Nothobranchius furzeri: one gene and its partner. The protein of the gene in region 1 purifies or fractionates together with the protein of each later gene. This does not show direct contact. Links are inferred from orthologs where the notes say so. Each region holds a gene or a part of one and is shown on either strand. Other genes may lie near its edges.

Evidence for each region.
Region 2: the proteins of cytochrome b-c1 complex subunit Rieske, mitochondrial (region 1) and lyrm7 purify together in Homo sapiens (co-immunoprecipitation; 5 studies listed by BioGRID and IntAct, with this or other methods). This does not show direct contact. The link is inferred for Nothobranchius furzeri from reciprocal best matches to the Homo sapiens genes UQCRFS1 and LYRM7.

Annotation. Positions count from the first base shown.
Region 1 is NC_091744.1:78,630,094-78,633,532, forward strand, and holds cytochrome b-c1 complex subunit Rieske, mitochondrial, read right to left. Parts: upstream 2,285-3,439; 5' UTR 2,115-2,284; coding exon 2,003-2,114; intron 1,643-2,002; coding exon 1,032-1,642; 3' UTR 816-1,031; downstream 1-815. Other genes in the region: zgc:112052 (protein C19orf12 homolog), read left to right, coding at 1-51; rxylt1 (ribitol-5-phosphate xylosyltransferase 1), read left to right, coding at 2,500-2,647, 2,795-2,977, 3,348-3,439.
Region 2 is NC_091752.1:25,367,435-25,371,228, forward strand, and holds lyrm7 (complex III assembly factor LYRM7), read left to right. Parts: upstream 1-1,470; 5' UTR 1,471-1,540; coding exon 1,541-1,558; intron 1,559-1,725; coding exon 1,726-1,798; intron 1,799-1,959; coding exon 1,960-2,030; intron 2,031-2,230; coding exon 2,231-2,312; intron 2,313-2,450; coding exon 2,451-2,521; 3' UTR 2,522-3,264; downstream 3,265-3,794. Other genes in the region: adenosine 5'-monophosphoramidase HINT1, read right to left, coding at 138-302, 551-655, 1,057-1,167.

The DNA of each region.
Region 1 (3,439 bases):
ATTGGGTATGTCACCAAGGAGCTCCAGGCTGAGGTGCACTACGTGGATTAGTGTTGTCTCCATGGTTAATAACCTACCTAAAAGTTTAACACGCCTAGTAAGATTATTGAGTAGAATATAAGCTGCTCCTGTAAAGCAGAAGCAACATAGTAAGAATAGGAGTTGTGGATTTGAAGTGGCCTGTGAAGGAAGTGCACTTTTTTAGTAAAAATATTTATTATGTATCTGAATGCTCTGAAAGTGATATTACGTGGCTTTAAAAGTTGTGAATTTAATACTTGATTTATTGATATTGGAACAGCCTATGGTCATATTTGTACAAAGATATAATTGTGGAAAAAAATGAGCCAAATTGCTTTTATGAATATAATGGCACAAACCGTCCATCAAGTTGCATTGTGTGAATGTTTAGAGTATATTGGATTATTTCAGTAAAACAGAATATTACTGCTTTTGTTTACATAACCTTTTGTACGTCATGTGCATCTAATAAGCTTAAAGTGTTCATCTAACAAATCGTAATTCATTATGTTTACTTATTAATAATCCTTCAAGTGCTCCAATATAATCTAAAAACTTTTAAGTCAAAACAACTCTGAGGACTTGGCTGTGACTTTTTCATAAGGGATGACATGCAAAAAAATGTCAAATAAAAATATTTTAAGATTTTTAAAATGTGTTTTAGTCCACTTTTGTTTTTTTCTACCTTTTATGTGGTACTCCTGTTTACAACCAGAATTGATTCTTTTTTTCTATGCAACAGTCTCGAATTCCCAGTAATGCGTACAAAATGCAGCGAAAAATGAGAAATATACTGGCATGGATGAGATACTTTATTGATCTCGGTGCAGCAGTTGTAATCACGTACAGAAATCAAAATAAGTGATGACTCACTCAAGGCTGAACTGCATTAACTCAATAGAGCATTTCTTAATACCTTTTTAATTACAAGTAGACATAAGATCCCTAAAATCATAAATAGAGTCAACTAATTGCAATTTTAGGGAGAGGAACTGGGACAGCATCTGTATTTATCCCACTACGAGTGTGTTGTCATCAAGGAACTCGTAGTAGGGAACCTCCAGATTAAGAGGAGCAGGTCCCCTTCTTATTCTTCCTGAAGCATCATAGTGAGAGCCGTGGCACGGACAGTAGTAACCCCCAAAGTCTCCAGCATTAGCGATAGGCACACAGCCCAGATGGGTGCACACTCCAATAACAACGACCCACTTGGGGTTGATCACTCTTTCTTTGTCATGCTGGGGATCACGCAGCTCTCCGATGTTCACAGCTTCCTCTGTGGAAATTTCCTTTTCTGTACGATGACGGACAAATAAGGGCTTTCCTCTCCACTTGAAGGTCATGTTTTTGCCTTCTGGGATGTCACTCAGCTTGATCTCAATTTTGGATAAGGCCAGAACATCAGCTGATGCACTCATGGAGGTGACAAACTGGGTGACGACCGTTTTGGCTGCATAGACACCAACCACAGCGGTAGCGCCTGTTAACATGTAGGAGAATGCCTTTCTTGTGTCACTGCTGTCTTGGGAAGACTTTCTGGGATCCAAAACCTCTGGGCGACGGTAGTCTGAGAAGTCAGGAATCTTGATGTCTGTGTGGGCCAGACGGGTTCCTGCAGGGGCTGGAAAGAGAAATGACAGACAACATTGGTAAATGAGCTTTACAACACCTTATTAAGCTGTATTTACAATATTCTTTCAAATGTTTACATATTTAAACGTTTAATCCTTAACGATATAATTAGGATAGGTGTTAAATGTAACCTTACAAAGTAGAAGCCGACAAGCAGTTAACGGTTCTGTATTACTTTTTATTCAAAAGTACTTTAGAGTAGTAGCATAATAAAATAGTTATGGAACTTTGGTTTAAATATATTAATTACACTCAACTAAATACTTTAGGTAATGTTAAAATTCTAGTTATGAGCTACTACAAGCTAGGTTTTGTAGTAACGTCACCTAGCTAGCTAACTCGGCCTTACCAGCAACGGTAAACAGCTCCATAGCTCCCGGGAACACCAGGCTTTTAAAGGTGTTTCTTGTTGCTCGATAATAGGGTAAAATAACCCCGGGGCGAGTGACTGTGGACATCATTTTGCCCCAAAAAGAGTCTCTTCAACCCGGTAGCTTGGGACACGACCTTGCGCTAAAGTAGCTTGCGCGCGCCACTCTTTTCTGCCTTCCCAGAAATGGTCTAACCTTTAACCGTCCCTGTTACGTGTGTATGTTTTTTTTATTTAAAATAATCTAGAATGTCCCTTATCCTCTTTAAAAAATATTCTGATCATTTTTTTCGTGTAATTATGCAACATAATTATTAAAAAATAAAATCTTAAATAAAAAAATGCCAAAGGTCTGATCAAGGCAGGCACATTTTAAGACACCTCCAACGCGGGGTCCTTATGATGTAAACAAGTGTCGTCGCACGAAATGTACGGAAACGCGCTACACAATGGTAACCTGAGATAAGCGAAGAAAAATGAAAATACCGAAAAGAAAGCTGTTTCTTTTTATTATTTTTGCATACGTGGCGTTTTCACTTTATGCCGCATATAATGTTTTCTTCAGCAACAAAGTAATCTCCCGCGTTCACAGAGTGGTGAAGAAGGAGACGGGAGCGCCGTCGGGTGATTTCACTTTAACATTTAATCTCGTTGAAAAGAATTCCTTCAAAGATATTCAACTATTGTGATTTTTTTTTGTTTAGTCATTGTGTTTTTTAATAAATAAAATGCACACAAAGGAGCTAAGTAGGGCCCGTGATGTGTTTGCAGGCGGTGTCAGAGATGGCGGTGCTCCATTTGTTGCTGATGAGTGGAATCCGTGGGAGGATGAGGAGGTGGAGTACAACTCTGCTCTGAACAAAAAGAGACAAGCCTTTAAAGAGTATATGGCTAAACTTGACAGAAACAAACCCAAAAGATACAAGGTCCAAATCTGGGGGAAAGCTGCTATAGGTATGGCATGGATCCAGTCTTATTAGACTGTCATAACCTGGGGCTTTTTAATTTATTTATTTACAGTGCATCTTTAACATCTTCAAGTTTTTTTTTTCATCTTTTAAAAATATAATTACTTTTTATAAGATCCAAAAGATGATCAGAACCTGGTTTTACATAACTACAGACAAATTTTGGGGGTTTAAAAATGTTAAATGCCTCTTAGCTTCTTTGTACACGTTTCACAAATAGATGACTAATCTGAACACTGTGAGCACATTTGATGTATTTGTGCCCCTTGTTAGAATATTGGTGAAACTTATACTGTGCATTAGCATTAAATATGTAACTTTGATTGCAAATGTCATTAATTATCTTCTCTTCTCAGGGCTTTACCTTTGGGAACATATTTTAGGAGGACCTCTTAACCCAACAGACAAGGTAGCACAGTGGCGAGAGGGGGAGCTACAGTCAGGAAAA
Region 2 (3,794 bases), on another chromosome or scaffold:
TTGTGAATTTTATTAACATGTTTGCATTTCCAGATTTGTGTAACTCATTTCATTGTGATACATCCTGAATTTAAATCTAGCAACACTGGACGTCAGGTGACAGATATGGCAAAGCAGCCTGTGCAGGAGGACGGAGGTTAGCCAGGAGGCCAGCCCAGAATGCGTCCACCCAGGATGTGAATGTGGATGTGGTAGACGGACTGGCCGCCATCCGGCCCGTCGTTGATGACAATCCTGTAGCCTTTAGCCAGACCTGCGTCTCGGGCACACTTCTTTGCAACTATCAGCATGTGACCTAACAGCTACAAAACAAAAAATAGCATTTACATGTATTTCTTCACACGCACGCACGCACACACGCACACACACACACGCACACACGCACACACACACACACACACACACAGTCCCTAGCCTGGCAAGCTCTGAGAAACTAAAAAAAATGGCTCCCTCTAGCGGTTACTGATAGTGTTGCTCTACAAGTCAGACATGATTTAGCATTTATCCACATCCCTCAATTTAAAGAAATAAATGGAAGAATCCTACTTACAGCAGCATCACTGTCCTCGGCTTGTGACAGCTGAACAATTGGTTTTTTGGGGACGACCAGGATGTGAGTGGGAGCTTGAGGAGCAATATCAGGGAAGGCAACACACTGAAATAAAAGGAACCCCATCAAGAATGTGTAGCAAACACGTTCAAAACCACGTGACAAACGTGTAAAACTCGTCCCCCGAGCTAATCGGTTGTTGTTTCTAAGATGACAAAAAAACGACAAATATGCCAAAAGGGAAAAGTGAAACTGCAAAACTGAACCATGCACAAAAGTCTGTTTTCAAACTATGTTTTCGGATATATTGTGTTATTTCTGTAAAGTTTGCACGTGGACTCGCTTTCCAGTCTGGGTAATTCAATACGTAGTAAAAACTTCCCTATGATCCGTGTGTGTTTGCAGAGCTAGCGAGAAGCTAACGTGTCCTGCAGGAAGCTGCAGCACGCTGCTCTGAAGCTGCTATGCGCATAAAATTGTCACCGAGAGGACATGTAGCTACTTACCAAATCATCTTCATAAACTAGGTTGACAGGAATCTCTTTGCGAACTATTTTCCCAAATATTGTATCTCCGCCCGGCCGGGCAACCTGTGCCTTCGCCGTTTCATCAGCCATGTTTGGCTTTCGATTGATGTGGTAGCAGCAAGACAATGTGGAAGATGGAAACCCGCTGTGACACATAATCAAACCGTCGTGAATGCTTCTTATTTTATTTTTTTAGAAATAAAAGAACTTTGTGGGCAGATACCGTATATTTATTTAATGTACACTACTAGCCTTTCAAATGTTAATTTTAAAAATTACTTGAAAAATCTTAAAGTTTCATTTTGTTTATTTCTCAAATATACGGCAAAATGGCTAGCCAAACTGGCTATTTTAGGCTAGCTAAAGCCAGGCTGAACGTTGATTGGCTACCAAATAAACGTGACTTCAAAAGCTTCGCTTATTGGTTAATGTTCACTTACCTCGGAAGTGAGAAAAAGCCAACATGGGGACTCGTTTGAAGGTGAGGGAGGAAAATATTGTAGATTTTATAAAAGTATCATTAATTAATCCACGCTTTATGATTTAAATTAATTTTGTCATTTTAGCACAATATTTTCGGTTTTTTCAATGCGGTGAATTTTGATAACTGTTGTCAAGTGATGTAGAAAGCTTTGTGTATAAATGCAGGTTTTACGCGTGTTTAAAAAGCTGCACAGAACAAGGATGGATGTGTTTAAAGAGGATGAAACAGCGCTGGGTGGTGAGTTACACAACGTTTTTTTATTCACAAAACCGCGTCTGGGATTTGTGTGCGTTAATCATAACGTTACGGACAGTTTCCGATGCAAAATGATTTTGCTGCCTTTGCATATGTCTGCATAGGATGTACTACTGATCACATGCCTGTTTTCTTTGTTGAAGCTGCAAGATTAAAGATCAATGATGAGTTCAAGAAGAATAAAAATGAAGTATCAGAAGAAAATATTCAGAAGGTATAAATGTTTAATTTTTCTTACCTACATTAAATTTTTATTTGATGCTTTCTAACTGGATCCGTTTCAAATAAGATTTCTATCTGGTCAGTAGATATTAATTTAATTTGGGTCAAAACATGGTGATACATCAGTATATCTTTTCTTGTATTTGTACAGAGTGAAAACTGAAGAGTTCTTTTCATATTTTAATATTACAGATGATCAAAATGGGCTCTGATGTGGAAACAGTTCTTCGTGAGTCTGTGGTTCAGATGGAACATGTTGGAGAAAACACACTCTGTATGAAAACATTTTTTCTCTTTTTATAAGAAATATTTGACTAAACCAACATTTACAATCTGATGAAAGAATGTCTCAAAACCTGCTGACGATTGTTATTTGACGTTGTATTGTATTTACTCTTCCTATGTCCCTCAGTGCTTCGACCAAGAGAAGGCCTTCTACGGGAAAATGTACCTTACTGTGATGAACCCAGGAAAAAGTCATGAAAGAATATCAGCAGAGACTATCATCCATCACTTTGATTTACTGTTTAAAGGATTTAACCAGACAGCTTTAAAAGCTGTTCAGGATCTCCAAAGTGATTTTTTTTTACCAACTCCTGGAAGAGAGAAGATCCCCCTTGTTCTGGATGCACATTGTGCAAACGTCCCTGCTCACACATATCATCCTTTGAAATGTCCTTCAAATGTTTTGTTTACATTTTAGTAGCTTGCTATGAAATCAGACTGGCACAAAATATTCTTTTGCTGCTATTAATCATAACTGCAGACTTGTAGCTTTTTGGCAAAAATAACTGTTTTTGAAGCCAAATGTGGCGTTCACATGAATCGTGTAGATCTGAAGAGTTTTGTTTTAAGGGGAAGGGGGGTCTTTCGTCGGCTTTGTGATAGATAGTTGCTTTTTTAGATCAAAAATGTGTCTGACACTACATGCCATTTCCCACAAAAGCTATTCAATCACAACAGTGCTTAGGACAATTAAAAGTGCAAAACATTTAAGAAGATTTAGCAAGGTAAAAAACAGTTTCCTCTTTCAACATCTCAGGCTGTGGGAGAAACGTGCTCTTAAAAAGTACTGAAACCCTATTGGAAATGTCCAATTCTTGTCTTAAATTTAGGTTATAAAATCCATAATGGGTCCATATGTTAGCTTTCAATGTCTTTGAGCAGCTTTAGAGATATTTATGCTGCAGTTCAAGGGTGTAAGAAATAAATAACATGAAATTAAATGTTTGGCTTAGTTTATTTGAAACCAATGGTCTCATTTTTAGACATGCTTAAGCATGGGCCAAGTTGAGTTTAATGCAGAAAATAATAAAACTAAAAACCCATAAACTTCCAGTAATATCTGGGATGTTTATTTTTATTCTCCTTCACTAACCAGCTAACTACAAACTTCAATCTTGTTCAGTTTGCACAGCACAGTCCAAGAAGGGCAGTTGGTTGTTGTGTGGATCTTCCCTGGTGAACTTGATGTTCTTGTCCATTCTGGACAGAGAAGATAGATGGTTTGAGAGAGGAGTAAAATAAGCTGTCTATGTCAAACGTGAAAAAGAAACCAAAGAAGTTGCATTCCTCTGAACCCTTTGGATTACCATGAACTGAATGACCAAGAATGTTGGTTATTGTAACCGATTGTAACCCCAGATTCTATGAGTCTAGTCGCAGCCCTTAAGCTAGCTATACAGGTGCTGGCCAGTAAATTAGAATATCATCAAAAGGTTGAAAATATTTCAGTAATTCCATTCAAAACGTGAAA